4 linked regions of the Caenorhabditis elegans genome follow. The protein of the gene in region 4 purifies or fractionates together with the protein of the main gene of each other region. This does not show direct contact. Each region holds a gene or a part of one and is shown on either strand. Other genes may lie near its edges. The genes, in order: clu-1, lsm-4, eif-1.A and egl-45.

Region 1 (7,481 bases), 1.7 Mb from region 4:
TTTTGGTTATTTCAGGCGCTGACTATTTAAATTGTTTTCTCTATTCAGAAAGTTCTACAAGACATACAGAAGTACGGCTGGTATTCAAGTGGATAGCTCAAGAACAAGCGTCTCTCAGCAGTTCATCAACGAATATAAACTAGTCAAATCAGAAAATGCAGAGGCAACAGATGATCAGTTGTTCGAGATGACACAAAAACGTCTCAACGAGAATGGAATCGTTTTGAAATAAATGCTAAGTTATAGTTTGTAGTTGTTCATAAATTTGTTTTTCGTTTCAACTTACTCTTTCTTCTTTTCCTCTTTGAACTTTCCAAGCGTTAAATAATTGTTTCTTTTCTGAGACTTTGTTCAGAATTCTGAAACGAGGATCATTCTGGATCCATTTTACAGCCTGATCCCAATTGCAATTCGTTGTTATCTTTCCGTCATTATATTTGTCACGGAGCAGTTCACGGAATCGTTCTGACTGCCGTTTCTTCAATTCAACTTCATCGTTCACAGATTCTTCTTCTTTCTTTTCAGACGGAAGAGGTACATTTGGCATTGATGCGAGGGTAGCCTTCATGGCTTTGTCTAGATCGGATTCCGCCTTCTTTTGCTGAACAGCCGCTGCCAATGCGACAGTGTCCACAGTTGCAGCCTTTGCTGCTGGCTTCTGTTCTCCTTCTGAAATAAATAATTCAAATTGAAAGATTCTCTAGATAAAATCTTACTTGTAATTTCCTCTCCATCTGGTTTAACCCATTGCGTTTTCTTTGTAAGGGTATTATAATAATATGGTTTTCCGTCATCACTCATGAATTCTTTCCATTGACCTTGTTGTGGCTGTCCGCTAGTACTTCTCTGAAATCAGACTTCAAGAGCGCTGTAAACTATATTTTTCACTTACCTCGAGTGGAGTTTTTAAGACGTCTGGTTTTATCCATGACGTTTGTTTCGTTACACGATTATGATAATAAGGTGTACCCTTTTCATTCGTATGCACACTCCAATCAGATTCGACAGATGGGGATGAGTGGGATTCGTCTATGCCCATTCCAGGAGGTACCAGCATTGGTGAAGGCCTCGTCGGAGCTGCAACGTGCGGAGCAACTACAGAGTGGGTGGGCATTTGGAGGAGCGGAACTTGAGCGATAGATCCAACTGGTGGCATGCCAACTGAAAATGTTTGCATTAATATTAAATTATTTTATTAATTAATTGGCCAATTTTACAAATTTATGAAAAACTTGCATCTTTGGTTCAGGAGAACTTGTTGAATGTTAGCAGCCGCTACTAAATTGGGATTAAGAAATGAAAATCCATTGGGAAGCATTCTGAAAATTACTTGATTAAAAAGTGAAAACGAAAGAAACACCAAGGAAAATGTAGCATAAACAAAATTTGTGGAAAAATCGAAGAAAACTGAAACGCTGCGTGCCCCCTTTCGATGCAATCTATCGTCGGAAAATACGGTGGGGCGCACTTGCTTGCACCAGAAAAGCGCAATGAACGAGGATCGCGCCAACGTGATGATTGACGCATTCCTGGAGCAAAATTTTTACAATACACTTTGTTCCCAATTTCTCGTTTCCTATTGCATCAGATGTTTTTAATTTTTGATTCAGTGTCGGAAAATTAGAAAATGAGTATAAAAATAGGTGTTAATGATATTGCTTTCTGATATTTGTTCTCTGCTGCGCTCGTAAGTGCGATAGCATAGGATTTTTGTATATAATATCCTTTCCTTCTCCAAATCTGTAGTTTTTTTTAGTTCTTCTGCAACTTTCTCGGTACAAGTCTTCATGGCTGTTCCATTATCTATCCATTCGTTAATTGTGCTGTGCTCGCACAATTTTTCGAATTCCATGATTTGCGTCATAAATCCTTCATCGTTTAATATTTCGCTAATATAATTATGAAGATGAACTGATATTTAAATATTTTACAGATGACTTTGGGTTCCGAAACGAAAACTGATGTCGAAGTGCCGATCATCAATGGGAAGCACGAAATTCCTCAAGAGGAAAACGACTCAGGTCACTCGTCGATAAACACTCCAGACTCATCAGAACCAGGTGAGAAAAATCTAAAATTAGTTTTTTTTTATCCTTGAGTTTCAGATAAGCAAGTCGACAAGTTCGTGAAGATCACTATTCAACCATCTTGTGGAGACGCTTTCGAGCTACATGTCAGTTTTTTCTTTCCTGATTTTAGAATCCAGACATTTTTTCAGCTCAGCGACAATGAGTTGGTTCAAGAACTATACCAGACGCTGCTAGACCGTGAAGCTACTTGTCATAGAACTTGTTTCTCCTTGTATTTGAACGGAACAGCCGTAGACAACTACTCTGAAGTCCGTGCTATTCCGGGATTCGTTGATGGGTGCACCTTGAACGTGGTCGATGAGCCATACACCATTCGTGATGCTCGTCTCCACCTCCGCCAAGTCCGTGAATTACTCAAATTTGGACTTACTGAAGATCAGCACGAGCCCCCGTGTACCAATGATGCTCAATCATATTTGACAACAATCAATTTGCAACCAGAAGAAAAGAAAGAACCAAAACCTTCCGATATTCTTCCACCAGATCATGCTCTTCCAGGATGCAAAGAACGCTCCCTTGCTCATCTGCTTGTTCCACAACCAAAAGAGCTCATTGCCCTTAAAGATATCGCATTCTCTCCGTACAACCCTCCACCAGGACCTCGAAAGCTCAGAGGAGATGTCTTGTACATCGACATCACAACAGTTGAAAATCGCATCTACCATGTCACCTGTTGCACTAGAGGTTTTTATGTGAACAACTCACAAGATGGACGGTTCGATCCGACAGTATCGAATTCCAATAAGACTGTCTACCAAAGCGTCATTGAACTACTTCAAAATGTCAGTCCAGGATTCAAGAAAGTATATCCTCAAATTTTGAAGCGGCGTCAAGAAAAGACACTCGTTGAGCGACTTCCAACCAGTTACCCAGTTTCTTCATGGGTTGGAAATCCATTGAAAACTGATGGGTACATGAGTGACTCATTGAGAGCCATTGAATTGACAGAGCCGTTCCGGGTTGGATTTGAAGATCATATGCCAGGACTCCTTCGTGATTGGAATGAAGAGCTTCAGACTACTTTCGAGATGACCCGTAAATCCATTTCTGAGCGAGTAATCCGTGATCGAAGTTATTACAAAATTCATGCTGATTACGTAAATGCTGCTGCGAGAGGTGTTCAATCTATTCTTGATGGAAATATATTGGCTATAAACCCAGGAGAGGACAAGAAAACTCATATGTACATTTGGAACAATATCTTCTTCAGTCTCGGATTTGACGTCAGAGATCATTATAAGGAGCTTGGAGGAGACGCTGCTGCTTTTGCTGCTACATCGACCGATCTTCAAGGAGTGCGGGCATTTGCAACTCTTGATGATCCAAAACTCAACACTCTAGGAATGGCAATTTTCGATTATCGAGGATATCGTGTGACTGCACAATCCATCATACCAGGAATTTTGGAACGCGAGCAAGAACAATCTGTTGTGTATGGATCGATAGACTTTGGAAAAACTGTCGTCTCTGATGAAAAGTATCACGAACTGCTCGAGGATGCTGCTCACAAACTGAAAATGCTGCCTCACACCGTTATCAGCGAGAAAGACGGAGTTAAGGAAGAGTTGAAGCTTTATACAAGCTACGAAGCTAAGGGAATAATTGGAAACGATGGTAGAAAATACGTTTTGGACCTTCTTCGTTCAATGCCTCCAGATGTTCATTATCTCGATGACGCAGAGGTCTCTGAGGCCGCTAAAACACTGGGATATCCACGAAAATTCCCGCACAAGCTTTCGGCTCTCCGCCGTGAACTAATTGATGCGTTCTGTGAGTCTAGATTGGTCACTTTCATCCAGTTAACTGCAAAGAAGATCCGTGATCTGATTACCGAGTCAAAAGAGAAAAATGATGAAACTTTGATTAAGCAAGCAGGTAATCATTTCGTACAAAACTTTTCTTAATCAAATTATTTTTATTTTTCAGCCGAAGCAGAAACTGAACTATCACTACTCTTTATGGCCATCAGCGAAGATAAGGAGTTTGAAGCCAAAAACAAAGTCGTTCAAGATGCTATCAAGGAAGCTTGTGCAGTTGTTCATTCTATTTATGAAGATCGCTATGTTATGAAGTTCAATCCGGATTGTTTCTCATCAAATGTCAAACATGCACCAACAGAGAACCTTGAACGACAACGCCGTGTTGTTGTGGATGCCGCAGATTTCCTCCTTACCCAGAAGATTCCAGAGCTTGTTCAGAACTTGAAAGATTGCGTTGTGCAACCAATTGATGGAGATAATCTTGCTGACATTATGCACATCAATGGTATCAATATTCGCTATTTAGGAGAAATTGGAAAACGTCTTGAAAACAGCGTCTCATTTGCTCGTCCACTTGTTCTTTCGGATATCGTTGCTAGATCTGCAAAGCATGTCATCCGCAAGATCAATGTTCAAATTACTGCTGATCAACTCTCCGCAAGTACATCTCACATTCTCAACTGCCTATTCTCTGTAGTTTTGGATCCAAGCCCTATTGCTGCGAACGTTGCGAAGAAAGCCAATAAGAAGAACGGCAAGAAACGAGTTACATCTGCCTGGTCTTCGTTAACCACATCAGCACTTTGGAATAGTATCCGTGAAGATTCTGCCAGCTATTATGGATACCCGATTGAGGCCGACTCCCTTGAAAAGTTCACCGAATTGCATGATATCCAAAAAACTGCTCTTTTCCGCCGCATTTGCAAAGTCATGGGAGTTCAGCTCGTAGCAAGAGATTACCAATTGGATAACTCTACTGCAAAGAAAACATCAATTTTCGTTGAAGATGACATCATCAACTTCTTCCCAATCATCAAGCATCATGAACCATTCACTGCTGATGCTAAGAAAATGTTCATTCGTGGACAACAAGCGATGTCTATTGGTGCCTCCCGAGAAGCTTACGAGTGTATTGGCGAATCACTAAATCTCATGACACTTGTCTATGGTGTAATGCATCCAGATATGCCACAATGTTTGAGAGCTCTTGCAAGATTGTCCCACGTTCTTGGAGAAACTGGAGATGTAAGTGTCTTATCATTAGTTATTTTGGTTTTTAAAACAATTTAGCCGCATGAACACTGAATACATTGGAAATTGTAATATATAAAACCAATGCCGTATAATTTTCAGGCTTTGAACAACCAGCATAAGGCAGCGGTCATGAGCGAACGGTTGATTGGATTGGATGCAGGAAATACCATTATTGAATATGTAAGTACTATTAATAAAAAATCATCTGCATTAAATATGTTTTATCATCTTTGTTTTTCGATAAACTTGAAGAACAATGAGAACAAAATAAAGGGAATTTTTCTGCAATGACATTGAACATTTTTCAGATCAATTTGGCCCATTTCGCATTTGGAGCACTTCTCATTCCTGGATCTCTTCGTCCATTGTACCGTGCGAGATATCTCATGAATCTCGTATTTGGAGAGAAACATCCTGTAATGGCTCAAATTGATGCCAACATTGGACTCATTTTGTTCACTGTTCAAGAGTTCGACACAGCTTTGAAGTACTTGCAATCGGCTGATGCTATCACAAAAACTATTGGAGAACCGAGAAAGCTGAAGACTGGATTGATTTCCAATTTGATTGCCCGAACACATGCGGCTCGTGGAGATTTCCGAGCTGCTCTAGTTGCTGAAAAGGAAACATTCGCTATTTATTCCGAACTCTATGGACCAAATCACCCAAGAGTCAACGAATCGAGTGAATATCTTCGCACGCTTACTCAACAAGCTGTTACATTCCAAAAGAAAATGTTGAAACTTGACAATAGTACAAACATTACTGAATTGTTCCAGGTAATATTAAATTTTCACAATAGCAAAAAAATCGCAATATTTTTATAGGCTCAACCTCCAACAGTTACCTCTCTATTTGATACCTTAAACATCATCAACGGAATACTGATCATTGGTGTTCCTGGATTGTCTTCTCTCGGAAAACAGCAAAATGGGACGACTGAAGAGAGCAAGACTACAGATGTTGCTGCTCAGCTTGACAATGAGACTCTCGATTAGAATTGATTAGATATCACCCAATTTTTTGGAAGTTGTTTATCAAATTTCAAAAAATTTAGAATTACTTGTTCGTTGATTATTTTAGTTTTTAATAGTGTATAGCATATAGATCAGTTTTTGTTTCTTTTTGTTTTGTTTTTTTAGGTGTAGATATCAGTTTAGTAAATAACTTTTTTTTTGTTAGAAAACCGTGACCGCATTTTCGTTGCTTTTTTGAAATAATTATATGAGATAATTGCACCGTTTCTTTCTCTGATAACCAAAAACATTTGCTCAATTCCAAAAATCAGCCTGAAATTTTCAAATTTGCTCAGGAGCATTTCCCTCATTTCCCACAACTTAATCAATCACATGTTCCCGTTTTCATTGTCTTCTCCATCTATCTGTAACCCATTTCCTTCATACATGTTATGACTGTCGTTCTGACACGAGTGTCCATCGAAAAACTAATCATTTAAAAAATATACATCTCTGATAATCCGAGTACACTCCATCTTTTGTTACACTGATGCGTTTGTTCTCCTCGTTACCTGTTTTTTTGCCTTAGGATTCAAAGCCTTGTAGTTTAGTATGAATTTTCGTTTTTTTTTAAATTTTCCAATCAACTGTTATAAAATGTTTATTGTTTTGTTCTTTCTCCAATAATAAAATCTGAAAATCTATTTTTTGTTTCAGTTCTAAAATTTTCAGAAAACTTAAAGTTTCATTCTTTAAATATTTTGAAATATCTTGTGAACAAAAATATGAATTTGTTAATCAAGAGTATCGCTTTTTCCAATTTGTCAGAAAAAAAATATATAACTTCCATTATTTAAGAAAAAAAGTTGCAAAAACTGAAAATTGTGTCCATTTTATTTTTTTAGCAGTAGAAAATTATATTTTCTTGTTTTTGCATTTTTTTTGTTAAATGTTTTAAACCATAAAAAATTTTATCCGATTTTGTTCATGTTGATGAACAAAAAAATTATAAAAATGTAATTGTCCTCTAAAAATGAGAGACTTTAAAGCTTTTTCTCTCTTATAATTAAATTTGTTTTTCATAGAATGGCGAGTGATTGGAGACGACAATCAACGAGTAGAGGAATTCCGAATGAGGGACAAAATGATGAAAAAGGAAAACCGCTCATTGTGAGAGAATATTTAAAGTAAAAAAAACAAAATTATGAATTTCAGGGAAGATCATTTCTGCTCGAAATTGAAAATCGTATTCTACGAACAAACGTGGCAGAAGGATTACATATTTCTGGTGCTACAATAATTGATTCATTTGATGATGCTTCCCCACAATGTGTCATCTCCGATCACCCGATGGCTCAAAAATTAGAAAAAGCAAAGAAAGATGACCCTCTTTTTAAAAATGAAAAGGTACACTTTTACTG
Region 2 (3,571 bases), on a different chromosome or scaffold from region 4:
TTGAACCATTCACACTCCAATTCTTCACGTTCGTTATTGTATCCAAGAATTTTCAACTCATCACTTCTTCTCATTTTTGGACGAGTTTCCGACTTTGATACACCACTTTCATGAAGTAGACGAGGATATGCACTTCTGAGCTCTTTAACTTCTTCTAAAGAACAAATTGCGCCGAGAGTTTCTAACTTTTTTTCTCCTTGTTTCTGCTCACGGTTCATCTTTTTACGGAATTCATGCAATCTTCTATCTTTTTTCGAAACCCACATCCTCCTTCGCTTTCGTCTCTTTGAGCTCGAAGCTGTTCCTCTCTTTGGTTTTTTCTCTTCTTCTTCATCTTCTGTATCAAATTCCTGTGCAGTCTCAAAAGCGCTTGGAGGATCTTCTTCTTCTGTTTCGCGTTCCATGCCGTGGTAGGTGTCTTTATCAGAAGCTTGACTTTTCTGGAAAAAATACACATAAAACTGAATTTAGTTATTTTCCTTAAACTCACATCATCGTCCGAATCACTGCTTGATTCTCTCATAACTCGAGTAGTTTTTCTTCTCTTTGGACTCGGAGGCCCCTTTTTCCGACAACTGGAAGACGGGCCCGGCGAATTGTCATTATCACTATCATCAGTATTTATTTCCTGTTTTACTGATCGCTTCGATTTCATATCTCTTTCATTATCAGGATCACAGTCATCTGGGCTAAGCTCCGTCTCATATTGATTTGTAAGGAATTTTGGGCGCTCATACTTGGTTTCAATGTCACCATCGATTACTCTGAAGAAATTCTAAATATATGAAAAATAGGACATTTTCACTTACTTTTGCACATACTGCTCTAATACTTGTTGCACTTTTATCGCAAGTTTCGGATCGTTTTCATCCCAGCTTTCTCCAGATGCACGAACGGCGTCTCGAATCAGAAGCATTCTTTCCGTTGATTCCAAACAGTTTTTTTGTAGCACACTGTCTAATGTTTGATTTATATACATCCCATATTTAATTCGATCCCAACTTGAACTTTTTATGGAAAATTGTCCAATCCATCCACGCACGAAATGTTTTTCAAAGTAATCCTTGCAATTATGACCATCTTTTCTTCCGCGACCAATACTTTCAGCTATTTCTCCCCAATTTCCCATCTTGAATTTATGAGCAGCTTTTAACAATTCGAATTCATCTTCGTGTGTCCAGCTCATTGCTTCGGGATTACTTGTTGGCTTGACAAGCTCGTAATTGTGACCTCGGCGATGTGGTGGTGATTCCGCGCCGCATTGGAAACACTGAAATTTTAAAAATAAAATAATGTTCTTAAAAACTTCACAATCTGTCAACTCACGAGGATACAAATTCGCAGAGGACATTCAAAGCATTTGACATGAATGGTTTGGTCGACTCGTAATGTGCAGTTGAAGCATACCGGATGTTCTCCGGTATCATCAGCCATTGAACCTATAAATATTAAAATTCCTCAAATCATGTTTTAAAATAAAACTAATAATCTTGAGATGAAAACAAAGAAAAATCGATTGCAGAGGTGAACCCTGTTTTCAAATGATCATCCACCAACGACCCTCCGAAATGACGCATGGTCGCCTTGTTTAACGTAAATATTGTGTGCATTAAAATCTTTTTTTATCGGAATTTTTTGTTTCGAATTGTCTTTTCGCCGTAATTTCAGTTTAAAATCTTAATTTATTCTTTGCAGATTGTCTCACTTTAAGTTTTACTAGTGAAAAACAATCACAACCCCACTAAATCAATATAGTCATGGTGGTAAGTCGAATTAAGCTGAACTCAAATAGTGTATGATTTCAGTTGCCACTTTCTCTTCTCAAAACCGCTCAAAACCACCCGATGCTTGTGGAGTTGAAGAACGGCGAGACTTATAACGGTCACCTGAAAGCCTGCGATTCGTGGATGAATATTCATTTGGTGGATGTTATTTTCACATCAAAAGTAAGTGTTTCGTTTAATTAAATGGTTAGCCCAGGAGAAACTGGCTATTCAGAAATTTCTTTTCGTTATTATTGAAAAAAAACATAATTTTGTTTTAAACGGCTCACAGATTCTAATTTAGAAAGAACCTTTCATATTTAATTTGCATTCATATGTCAGCTCAATATTTCAAACATCTAAAACTCTCGGATTGATGCAAATTTGCGACTAACAATACATGTTAAATTACAGGACGGTGACAAGTTCTTCAAAATGTCAGAAGCGTATGTCCGGGGATCTACTATCAAGTATCTCAGAATTCCAGAAACAGTAAGTACCTGATTTTCTCTTCGACAACATAACATTTCCCATTCTTCCAGGTGGTCGATCTCGTGAAAACTGAAGTCAACGAAGTTCGTCGTCAACAGCAGCGCGAGCAATCCCGTGGTCGTGGTGGTGGACGAGGAGGACGTGGAGGACACCGCGGAGGTGGTGGAAACCGAGGCGGACGCGGAGGAGCTCGATAATTCCTGCAGTGCTTCGATTGCTGATAACAATTTCTCGTTTACTCTAAATAATTTATGTATTTGAAATTATTTTTTTACCCAAAAACCAAACCTTCCTCCGTCTCTTCTGATCTTCCCCAAGTCGGGTTGTTTCACATGTTTTGAAATTTTATTACAATAAATTGAATTATACTTCAACAATATCTTAAGATCTTTCATCTGTCCTCCCACTCTTTTACTAGACTACAATGTAGTCTAGTATGGGACGTTGTCCTTATCAACCGCCCGCTGCAGTCATTGATTGTAGTCCACAATGTGACTAACGGCAATTTCATAGTTGCCATTTCTTTTATTTTTTCTTGAATTTAATCCATTTTTCAAAATCGAATAACGACATTCCATTTATTATTACAGATAAATTATAATGTCCGCACCTCCAACAAATCAACCACCTCCGCTGCCGCCAAGGTCATTTGATGTAATTATTGATAAATTGTTTTGAAACTCCTACTAATCGATAATATTTAAGAATCAAATGTCGAATCCAATGATCAATACAGGTTTTGGTTATGGTGGAGGATATGGAATGAATACGTTTCCAGGGTCTGGAATGTAAGTTTTATTTTTTAAATATTTTTTTTTTTTTTGAATGCTCTTTCGTAAATGCTAAAATGTCTGCGCCTTTAAAGAGTACTGTAGTTTCAAACTTTCGTCGCTGCCTTATTTTCATGGATTTTTCGTAGTTTTTCCGATAAATTAATTTTAAATTCAAGTATACTAATAAAAAAGAGAGAAGAAGCATGAAAAAACGATGAAAGTCCCTCAGCAACGAGAGTTTGCTGTTACAGTACTATTTAAAGGCGCACACCTTTTCATATTTAAGAAAAATGTGTCGTTTCGAGACCGGGTACCGTATCCTTGACGCAAAATCGTAAAATATCATGTCTGGGTAATTTACCGAATAAAGTCAGTACCGAAATGATAGAGAATGGGTTACTGTATAACTCAAAGGGGCCTACGTTTCGCGCAGCCTCGATTTGAAAATATTTTGTATTAATAAAATTGTATATTGTTTAGGTATGGTGGTGGGGGAATGTATGGAGGAGGAATGGGTTACGGTGGATTTGGTGGTGGCTTCAA
Region 3 (3,692 bases), on a different chromosome or scaffold from region 4:
AGGCAAAGGTTGTTAAATCTGGATTACTTATTCATAGGCTTCCAGTCTCCAATTTTAACGATATCGTATCGGAAATAATATATTACAGTTAATGGAATGCTTGATAACAACGTTCCAATAACTAAAGTGAATCCGAATTTGGGAAAATTAACTTTTCGAAATGCTCTTCTCGTTGAAAACTTCAAGACGATCAGTCTGATTGTGGCCATAACTACGCTGAGCCACGTGGATGTTCGACGGAACAAATCATTAATTACTACATTGATCCAGTACATATAAAAGAATGAAAGTGGTGCAGGTGGTTCACTGGAAGTGGAAAGATGAGTTGATTTAACATCGGGTTACAAAAGTCAAGTACTGTTTACTACGTGATCTCTTTAACTACGATTTAACCACATAGATCTTTTACTACGTTGGGTTACTGTAGTAGTACTGTGGAACTAAGCTTTTGAATAAATGTACTTTACCAGGGTTTCACATTAAATTCCAAAATCAAATAAAGATAGTTATAAATAATAGAGACAAACATCACTAATATATCACAAATAGCGATTCCTATCATTATCAAGATTACGGACGATTTTAACATTGAATTTCGAGATAAAACGAATAAATGGAATGATGTTGTAAAAATCCCAATTGATGAAATTACAATATTAATGATTATTGATGGATGGACAAACTTTCTGGAATTTGACGGTAATATTACGGGATTTTCAAAGCTAAAACTTGCTCAACAGCTATAAGAAAGAAATATAAATCAATTCTAGTCGCATTATCATAGCTGGGAAATGCAGAAGTTGATAAGTTATAAAGAAGCACTCTGTCAATCATTTCATTCAAATTCAGCTTAAAATAACTGAAATAAATAATTTTTACTATATGAATACACGTGGCCGCGAGTTGTGACATTTTGATGCAAATGTTTCACCTGCTTTTCGGTTTGAAGGTCGAGAGTTGTGTGCTGCTTTAAACCCATAACAAGAAAAGTTTATCAGAAAACAATATAAATGAAAGGAAAATAGTGGAATACGGGATAATTTGCAATAAATGAGTTGTTTCATCAAGTGGTGTCCGATGGACCGAAACCTTGAGGTTGTGTTGATCATCGGACACCACAATCGAATTATTTCACTTTGTAGCATTCAAGTAACGGAATTTCGGGAGACAGAGAAGATGGGAAGATAATGTCTGAAAAGGATCGAAAGAGAAACAATGGATTTTTAGGGGGAGAAAGAACAGAAACCGGGGGAAACAATTAAAAACCAATAATTTAATCAATTTAGCGTCTCTTTCCGTACTTGTTCTTGCCACCACGATTTCCGCCGCGACGAGTGTCCTCTTTAAATCCACGACCAGCTGCCAAGTCCTCTTCCCGAATATTGTCCGAATCATCTGAATCTTCGTCTGATTCCTCTTCAGAATCATCGTCCGATTCTTCTTCCTTATCCGATCCTGCCTCTTCGTCAGACTTCTCCGAATCACTGTCTGATGAATCTGAGTCAGACTTTGCTTCTCCGGCCTCTCCCTCGTCTCCGACGTGATCCACTGAAAAAAAATTGAACTTCATTAATTTTCAGCAAAAATAAACTTACAGAACTCAACCTCTCCCTCGTCTTGTTCATCGTTCTCATTGAGCTTGGCGTTTTCTGGGATAAGTCCCTCGTTCTTCAAACGGCGAGCTTCATCTGGGGTGTACTTCAGAATAACATCTCCCTTGTCGTCTTGATAATCTCGGAGACCGACGAGAATGATATCTCCCACGTTGATCCAAACCTTCTTCCTCAACTTTCCACGAATATGGCAGACACGCTGCTTTCCATCAAAACAGAACACTTGAACACGACCGTTACCAAGCATTTTTGAGACTTGTCCATATTCTGGAATTAATGCTTTTGTTTTTCGGGAAAGAAGTTATAAAATCTACCTTGTCCCTCCTCCTTGAGGTCGAGCTCGCGCTTCATGAAGTCGTTCTCATTCTTTCCTCTTCTGCGATTCTTTCCTCCCTTTCCCTTATTCTTCGGCATTGCTGAAAATATTACGAAATAATTTGGAAAGTTGAAGTTACGAGAAATACAGAAGCAAAGAGGACTGCAAAAATTGTAGAAAAAACAAGAACATAAATATGCATAAGGTAATGTCAGATTTCAATGGAATTTAACAAAAAATTAAGAAGAATGAGTATACTATCCCAAAATAAACAGTTTGCTTGGATTTCGTGAGTATTTTGATGAAAAGTGATTTCTAAAAATTGGAAATAATAATTTTATCAGCGCTTGAGATTAAAATTATGTCGTCAATCGACAAAAATAAACAAAATAACAGAAGAAAAATTTCAATGAAAAATCGACGAAAATGTGGAGTGCACAGAAAAGTGGGCGGGGTTTGCTATCGCAAGAGCGCGGCGCGAGGTTACGTAACTGCGGACTTGGCGACACAATTTACGACACTCGCTATTTTTATTTTTTATTTTGCTTATTTTTTATTTTTCTCTCTAAAATTTTGTTGTTTTAACGAATTGTTTTCGGAAAAAAGTTATTCAGAATCAAAGATTACTTCATAGAATATAATTATTGTCCAAAATATAAAAGAATTGTAAGATAAACATCTCAAAACGAACATTTAACCGCAAAAACGTATTTTGGGAAAACAATCACAAACTTTTCACGCAAAAGTGTTTTACCTACATTTTTTTGTAGTTTATTAAGTCACAAAATTAACGACATCATGAAAAATACAGCAGATAATATTTTTCTGTCCGAAAGCTTTCCCCAGTTTAGTTTTCTCCAATAGAAAAACTCCAAGTTTTTTATAGCGTTTTCGAGATGAGCTTTTTTTCAAATTTTCTGAAATGAAGTTTGAAGTTTGTATACAACCCAAAATATATGTTTATCACCGTGCAATATCACAAATGTCGTCATCGCCTTCTGTCCTATTTCGCAATCATTAATTTCCGCAAATCTCTCTGAAAAAGAACTACAATTCCAGCTATTCTTGCATGGGAGAGCCTCTGGTCGCCGAGCCGACAACTGAGCAGACTCCGTTGAGCACAAATTCAGTTGCTTATCAGAGCTCCGACGCGCTTCCAGATTCCTCAGAAGCATTCGGAGTAGAAAACGTTTATCGTGCTTTGATTATCTTCTGTGATAATTATTCGTTGGATAAAAAACAAGTGCGTTAGAGAACATGTTTTTGAGATTTTCGAAATTTTAACGTGAATTATTGTTCTTGTTTCTGTCTAAAATGGCCAAAATTTGAAAATTTCAGGTAGCTCTCGGACTCTTTCTTTCTATTCTACTTTTCATCTTCTCTGTTGGCACTATCATTGCGTGGAATCGATATTCACCAATCATTCAGGAGTTTATCATAAGAGAGAACATTGAGAAAGCGAGAAATAAGAGCAACGAAAAAAATAGTAAGATATTTAACAAGTTCTGCACTGATAACCATTCCAATTTATTTCAGAGAAAGAAGAATGAATAGTTTCAAGAAATTCCTCAACAAAAAGCGAGTCCAGAATCACTTCAAAAAGAGCGGTGAAGGTGTTCGTTTGTCATCCGGCGAGTCATCTTCGCAGCCTTCTGCCCACGCTGGAGCCGCCCAGGGAGGCCAAATTGATCGTGTCGCGGCCGCTGATATTGCTGCTCAGGCTGCTTTCAAACGGATGCAGAAGAATGAACCTCAACAAAATG
Region 4 (6,854 bases):
ACGGTCATCATCTCTGTAAATCGCCTGATATCTTCGACAGAATCAGGACCCATGTTTCGTAGTAAAGCAGCCATTTCAGCACCTATTTCGTCCTGTAAAGGCCTTCCTTGTGCTGCTGTTCGTGACACTCCTGCTCGATTTCCTCTTCTTGCTAACATTGGACGTCGCTGAACTGGGCGAGTAGTTATTGGTTCAGTTGAACGAAATAGGTTTTCCATTCTGTAACAATTTGTGATTTTTCAAAAATATTTAGAAATATTGGGAAATGTGAGTTTTTTGTATGCCTTACGTATGAAGATGAATCTCTGTCCAATGTACGCTCAAATTTTCAGTTTCTTTCGATTGAATGTGCTCCATCTCTGTGTTTCCAATACAAAGCGGGCATATCTGGACGTTAACAAATTAATGTTATTTAAAGGATATTATGTTTAGCATTTTCTCTTACCACACTGTAGCCCGGAGCCTCCGGATGTTGTGAAAGTACATGTGTCCCAAATTGCCGTTCGGTCAATCCTGTTATATTACAATACGGACAAGTGAAGGAAACAATTTTCCGTTCGTCATAATGTCGCGTAGGGTCGCCTTGGTATACGAGGTCTGTAAAGAATACTAATATTTGATAACATAATTTTTTAGGGGACGAAAATTATATATTTTTAATTTTTCTGAAATCCTCACTCTCACCATGTTTTTATAATAGATGTTTTAATTATGTTAAAACTATGAAACTTGTCATTTTATTTATTACAAAAAAAACTCAAAATGTTAATTTTTTTCGATAAAATTAAATTAAAGCTTTGAATTTTTTATAAAACCAAATGTTATGTGTAAATATTTATAATCCTACCAAAGTCCACAGAGCTCAAAATTAACTGCATTGGATGGGACTCGTCGTGTATTGGGATATCAGCTATTGTTTGCTGGTCTCCGTAGTTCTTTGTGGTAAAACAACTGAAGCAGAGATCGTAATCACTGCATCGTAGGCATTTGTAACGGTTTCCAGCAAACGCGGTGAAAGCACACCCATCACACGATACACCTGAATGAAGGGAGATATTAGTAATTCTTTTCAGATTCAATTACCCTCGTGTGTGCCAGTAAGAGGAGTCACCATCAATCGACTATGAAAGCTGAAAACGATTCAATTGTTTAAATGTATTGTAAAACAGCAAAAAATAAACCAGCCAGGAAAAATCGATTATATTAAGTGGATTTTCTCAGTGTGATTGTGGAATAAAATATTATAATTTTAATTTTAGGTGGAACTGGGAAAACTCAATTGATTTTAAACATTGATTTGAAGAAAAACTTTAAAAAATTAGCAAGAAAGGGTAAACATTGTGGATATCTGATGAAAATAACACTCGCGCTTTAAAGGCGCGTAGAGTTTTCTCCGCGTGCAGGTCTCGCCGCGAAAGCCTTTTTTCGTTCATTTTCCAACCGATCGGTCGGATTCTCAGCCATCTTTTGCGAATTTTTAGTGTTTTCCGCAATTTTTTGATGTTTCTGTTGTGAAATTATGATAGAAAACAATTTTCTATTCATGATAGTGCAAATTTTTCTCAAAAATGATGAAATTTATCGATTTCTCGTAAGAAAACATGTTATTCTATTGAAAACGAGTCAAAAAGTCTAGATTATTGAAGTACTATGTGCAAAGTTGAACTATTTTCATAGCTTCTACAGTAAATACATATTAAAGAAGTTTTTAATTTAGTGTAATAGCTAAATTGCTGGCGAACTGTTAAAAAGTGATCAATTAAAATGTGAATGTACAAATTAACATCGATCCAATTGAAATTCGGAACCGTTTTTGTGATCTTTTTTTAAAAATACATTTCGAATTTGGAATTACGCTCTATAAAAAAAATATTGATTCTTAATGTAAACTTCTTTTCATTTCGCAATTTTCAGGCTTCGTGTCTCAATTCAGCGGTAATCCGAGCACAACTATGGCTCCGAATTATTTTCAAAAGCCCGAAGCGGCATTGAAACGCGCCGAAGAACTCATTCAAGTTGGAAAAGAGTCCGATGCCCTTGACACGCTTCATGATACTATCAAGGTAGGCTTTAGAATGCTCCTAATTTGAAACTTTGAATTTTCAATTGTTGTAGGCCAGACGACACAAGCAATGGACAACTGTTCACGAACAAATCATGATTAAGCACATGGAATTGTGTGTAGATCTGAAGAAACAACACTTGGCAAAAGATGCTTTGTTTCAATACAAGGCTCTAACTCAACAGGTTATCTTTTTTTTAACGATTGCTTTTGCGAGTAGAAAATTATTATTCTGACTGACAGTAATGCAAATTATTCATGCTAATTAATTAATTTTCAGATCAATGTGAAATCTCTCGAAACAGTTGTGGTGCATTTTTTGAAACTCGCAGAGCAGCGTACTGAAGATGCTCAAAAACAATCGATCGAAAAAGTCGAAGAAATTGGAGATCTTGATCAAGGAGATGTTCCTGAACGCCTTCTTCTTGCTGTTGTTTCTGGAGCAGCTGCTCAAGATCGAATGGATCGTACTGTTCTTGCACCATGGCTCCGTTTTCTCTGGGATTCTTACAGAAATTGTCTGGAATTGTTGAGAAACAACGCCCAAGTTGAACAACTCTACCACACCATATCTCGCCACTCTTTCACTTTCTGTCTCAGATATCAACGTAGAACAGAGTTCCGAAAGCTGTGCGATCTCCTCCGTATGCATCTGAATCAGATACAAAAACACCAATATGCTCCAAATGTGTAAGTGATGACACTATTCAGTAAACGCTAATTAAAATATTTTCTGTTCTTTCAGAAACTCTTTCCGTGTGAAACTCACTTCTCCAGAATCTCTAGGTCTTATGCAAGACACCAGATTGATTCAATTGGATACTGCGATTCAGATGGAGCTCTGGCAAGAAGCTTACAAGTATGTTTTTCTTGTTTTTTTTTAAAGTTCATGTGCGAGGGATTATTTTTCCAGTGAATTGATTGTTTAATCAAATTTTATATGTTATTTTTTCAGAAGCGCAGAAGACGTTCACGGAATGATGCAGCTTTCAAAAGACAAAGACAAGAGAACGGTAAAACCTGCAAGCTATGTCAATTATTATGACAAACTTGCATTGGTGTTCTGGAAAGCAGGAAACAGTTTGTTCCACGCCGCCGCCCTTCTTCAAAAGTTCATCATTTACAAAGATATGAAGAAGTCTTTCACACAGGATGAAGCACAAGAACAGGCTACTAGAGTGCTTCTCGCTACTCTTTCCATCCCAGAAGGATCAGATTCGCCATCTGATTTGTCTCGCAACCTTGATATTGAGGATCAACATGTAGCCAACATGAGACTTCTCTCAAATTTGCTTCGTCTTCCAATTGCTCCAACTAAAAACGGAATTCTCAAGGAAGCCGCACGGATTGGAGTACCAGAAGCTGCTGGACAAACCGCCAAGGATCTGTACAAGCTTCTTGAGAGTAATTTCTCACCATTAAAAGTAGCTAAGGATGTTCAATCTGTTCTTGATACTGTCACTCGCCCTGACCATCTGCAATATGTTGAGTCTCTTCAAGCAGTTGCTGCTGTGAAGGCTTTGAAGCAAGTATCTGTCATCTACGAAGCTATCAGCTGGGAACGAATTCGAAAGATTATTCCATTTTACTCTGACTTGGCATTGGAGCGTCTCGTCGTTGAAGCAAGCAAACATAGAATTGTGAAAGCTCAATTGGATCATCGTGCTGATTGTGTTCGCTTTGGATCATCCGATGCGACATTGGCCGGAGGAGTCGATGAATGCGATAACAACGAAGGATTCACTGGAGATGATACTCAATTGGGAGTGGAAGGTGTTCGTAATCATCTTGAAGCAATGTATACACGTCTTCGTGGTCTCGTTGAAGGACTCGATGCCGAAAAACGACGCAAAGAGATTCTCAAAAAGATTGAAGGACAGGTCACTAGTTATGAAAAGAACCGACCAACTGAAATCGAGCGTATCCACCGTCGCAAGAAGATGTTGGAGAACTACAAAGAGAACTGGGAGCGTGTTAAGGCTGAAAAGACTGCTGCGGCTGCAACTGAACAAGCTAAACGTGAGGAAGCAGCTCGTGCTGAGGAGATGAAGAGATTGGATGAGCAGAACAAGGAGAGCGAACGGAAAAGAAAGCAAGCAGAACAGGATGAGATTCAGAAGAAGATTAAGCAAGATCAGCTCTACAAAATGCAGCAGAACGCCATCTACCAAGAAATTATCAAAGAAAAGGGTCTCGAGCAATTCAGAGACATGGATCCCGAGCAAGTGCTGCGTGAGCAGAGAGAACGATTGGATAAGGAGCGTGCCGAAACTCAACGTCGGTTGCAACAACAAGAGAAGAACTTTGACCATCATGTTCGCGCTCTTCACTTGGAAGAGTTGAACGAGCGTCGTGCAGTGATGAATATGCGACTCTCTGAAGCTCCAAAACTTCACGATTTATACGAAGAGGCTAGAATAGCCAAGGAAATGTAAGTTTTTTTTTTCAATTAATGTTAATTTTTTGAAATTCTACTAAAATTTTAGAAAACCGAAAGCGTCTATTTAAATTTTCTCTTAAGTTTTGCTTTTCCTGCAAGTTTGAGTTTGAGAAGGATTTTCGTCGTTCTTAGCATTATGAAATGCACAAAAGTTTTGCGATAAACACGATTTAGATCATATATTAATAATTTTGTTGTTTCATTTGGAAAATTAGAATTTTTCTATTTTTAACATTAGTGATTTCTTTCTTTTTTTTGATCTCTCATTGTAATAAAAAATAATATTCCAGTGCTGCTCATGACTCACACGTCAAACTATGGGGAATGTGGGATCAAGTGCGAGACGCTACTTTTGATTGGGTCGAGTCGGTGAAAATCGACAACCAGGAAACTCTTGAGAAGAAGTTGTCTGATTGGCAAGCGAAGCTCGAGGCAGTTCGTAATAATCGTCTTGCCGAACGTGCTGAGGATCGTAAGAAGAAGCGAAAGGAAGATGCTATTCAGGCGAAGATTGCCGAAGAACGTAAGAAACGCGAAGAAGAGGAGCGTGCCCGTCTCCAAGTTATCGAAGGACAACGTCGTCAACACAATGATGGTCGTGGTCGTAGAGAAATGGAGAATTCGGTTGCTATGCAAGACAATGATTGGAGACGTAACCCACCACGTGAGAGTTTGCCTCCAAGAGAAACGAGACCAATGCGTGATGGACCAACACGTGAACCTCGAGAATTCCGTGGAGATCGTGATCGTGAACCTAGAGAGCCATTCCGTGAGGTGCCATCTTCTAAAGCTGATACTGACAACTCTTGGAGAAGTTCTGCTCAACCAACTCGTAAACCTGACGATCGCCGCAGCGACGAGTTCCGGCGCAACGATGATGTCCGTCGCAACGACGATGTTCGCCGCAATGATCCACCCCGTCCAGCATCGAAGGCTGATACTGGGGATAAGTGGGAACGAGGAGTGAAGCCAGTCGTTTCTCCACCAAAGACCGATGCCCCATCAGGTAAGATTAGTTTTTATTGTTCAAACATTTGTCGCTACAAACCTAAAAAAATAATCATTTTTCAGTTTCTGAACCGAAATCGGAAGGACCCAAGAGGTTCGTGCCACCCCATCTTCGAAACAGACAAGGAGGTGGTGGAGCAGGTGGTTCCGAGGAACAATCCGCTCCTGCTAGATCTGGAAATTCCAATGTGACAAGCCCACCAGACCGGGCTCAAGGACTCCGAGGCCCACCACCAACTGGCCGCAACTCGTTGCCTCGTCGTGACGGACCACCACCACGGTCTAACAACACTGGAAACACGGGAAATGCCGATAGTGGAAGTTGGAGAAAATAAACACATGCTCAATTTGTGCTGATTCCATATCCAATTTTCAGAAATTACTCGAATGTCCTTAAAATTAGTATCCTGGTTGATTTTTCTGTCTTTTTTCCTGTTTTGGTTATCCTTCCCCCACTTTCTCTCTAATTATAAAATCACACGCATCTATAATCAATTGTTTCGTTAACTTTCTTGGTGTTGTTATTTAAATTTCCCCGAATCCCCTGTTGACCCTCATTGAGAATTCCTATATTCTCTTCACATCCATCTTTCCGTAAACCCCAATTGTTTGAGTATTTATGAGTAATGATATGAATAAAGACATATGTAGCTGACGACTTGAACGACTTAAACGAGTGGGCGTGTCGTCGTTTGTCCGAGAGCAACTTAGAAAGTGCCCGAGGCGCATCGAAACGAGCCACATTGGGGCACCTGTATGAGGGTGCTTTAGACGACGTAATGAGACACTGAGAGCACGCTGATTGTAGAGACGGAGACGTCATGAGTGGACAGAGAGGAGACGGGGGGTAATACAATAAAATAGGATAGATGGTATGGGGCAAGCAAGCAGTGGCCCCATACACTTCTGAAGGCACCAGTTGTATTCATGATTCACCTCTCCTGGATGTGCTTCCTGCTTTTACCTTCTTTCTAAGTAAAACCGTACCAATGGTTTGAACATATATATATAACACAATTTTGATATATTATAAGTTTTTATTACCCGCACGCAAAATTTTGTGATTTTTTCCCAAAAATACAGTCCCCGGTCTCGACACGACAATTTTTGTTAAATACAAACATGTGTGCGCCTTTAAAGATTACTGTAGATTGAAAGTTTCGCTGCTGTGGAATATTCATTGATTTTTGATAGTTTCTTTTCACGCTTCGTTAAAATGTATGTGTTATTAATGTTAAGTTAAAAAGAAATATGAAAAATAAATGAAAATTCCACAGCAACTTAAGTTTGAAATTACAGTACCATTCTTAGCAATCTGTGAGATTTACGAATTTTAAAAAATGG

What was found.
Region 1: the proteins of egl-45 (region 4) and clu-1 fractionate together in Caenorhabditis elegans (co-fractionation; one large-scale study listed by BioGRID). This does not show direct contact.
Region 2: the proteins of egl-45 (region 4) and lsm-4 fractionate together in Caenorhabditis elegans (co-fractionation; one large-scale study listed by BioGRID). This does not show direct contact.
Region 3: the proteins of egl-45 (region 4) and eif-1.A fractionate together in Caenorhabditis elegans (co-fractionation; one large-scale study listed by BioGRID). This does not show direct contact.

Annotation. Positions count from the first base shown.
Region 1 is NC_003281.10:9,515,913-9,523,393, reverse strand, and holds clu-1 (Clustered mitochondria protein homolog), read left to right. Parts: upstream 1-1,933; coding exon 1,934-2,060; intron 2,061-2,105; coding exon 2,106-2,173; intron 2,174-2,218; coding exon 2,219-3,965; intron 3,966-4,016; coding exon 4,017-5,095; intron 5,096-5,203; coding exon 5,204-5,284; intron 5,285-5,412; coding exon 5,413-5,883; intron 5,884-5,931; coding exon 5,932-6,102; 3' UTR 6,103-6,763; downstream 6,764-7,481. Other genes in the region: mrps-23 (Small ribosomal subunit protein mS23), read left to right, coding at 49-232; prp-40 (WW domain-containing protein ZK1098.1), read right to left, coding at 287-669, 717-846, 893-1,161, 1,237-1,318; F55H2.7 (uncharacterized protein), read left to right, coding at 7,147-7,230, 7,276-7,467. UniProt on the Caenorhabditis elegans protein: mRNA-binding protein involved in proper cytoplasmic distribution of mitochondria.
Region 2 is NC_003280.10:7,251,288-7,254,858, reverse strand, and holds lsm-4 (putative U6 snRNA-associated Sm-like protein LSm4), read left to right. Parts: upstream 1-1,695; 5' UTR 1,696-1,757; coding exon 1,758-1,763; intron 1,764-1,805; coding exon 1,806-1,946; intron 1,947-2,177; coding exon 2,178-2,255; intron 2,256-2,263; coding exon of another isoform or gene 2,264-2,297; exon of another isoform or gene 2,298-2,305; coding exon 2,306-2,452; 3' UTR 2,453-2,627; downstream 2,628-3,571. Other genes in the region: ada-2 (SANT domain-containing protein), read right to left, coding at 1-154, 212-440, 491-764, 810-1,270, 1,327-1,439, 2,264-2,297; prx-13 (Peroxisomal membrane protein PEX13), read left to right, coding at 2,856-2,909, 2,961-3,043, 3,509-3,571. UniProt on the Caenorhabditis elegans protein: Plays a role in pre-mRNA splicing as component of the U4/U6-U5 tri-snRNP complex that is involved in spliceosome assembly, and as component of the precatalytic spliceosome (spliceosome B complex).
Region 3 is NC_003282.8:4,809,271-4,812,962, reverse strand, and holds eif-1.A (Eukaryotic translation initiation factor 4C), read right to left. Parts: upstream 2,030-3,692; 5' UTR 2,028-2,029; coding exon 1,928-2,027; intron 1,881-1,927; coding exon 1,596-1,880; intron 1,549-1,595; coding exon 1,283-1,548; 3' UTR 980-1,282; downstream 1-979. Other genes in the region: srw-95 (G-protein coupled receptors family 1 profile domain-containing protein), read right to left, coding at 28-306, 468-686, 734-834; H06H21.37 (uncharacterized protein), read left to right, coding at 2,999-3,172, 3,268-3,415, 3,466-3,479; ubxn-6 (UBX domain-containing protein 6), read left to right, coding at 3,476-3,692.
Region 4 is NC_003281.10:7,823,687-7,830,540, reverse strand, and holds egl-45 (Eukaryotic translation initiation factor 3 subunit A), read left to right. Parts: upstream 1-1,914; 5' UTR 1,915-1,952; coding exon 1,953-2,063; intron 2,064-2,115; coding exon 2,116-2,247; intron 2,248-2,342; coding exon 2,343-2,752; intron 2,753-2,807; coding exon 2,808-2,921; intron 2,922-3,017; coding exon 3,018-4,493; intron 4,494-4,792; coding exon 4,793-5,508; intron 5,509-5,573; coding exon 5,574-5,845; 3' UTR 5,846-6,164; downstream 6,165-6,854. Other genes in the region: E3 ubiquitin-protein ligase kcmf-1, read right to left, coding at 1-13, 83-219, 290-387, 446-597, 848-1,039, 1,084-1,114.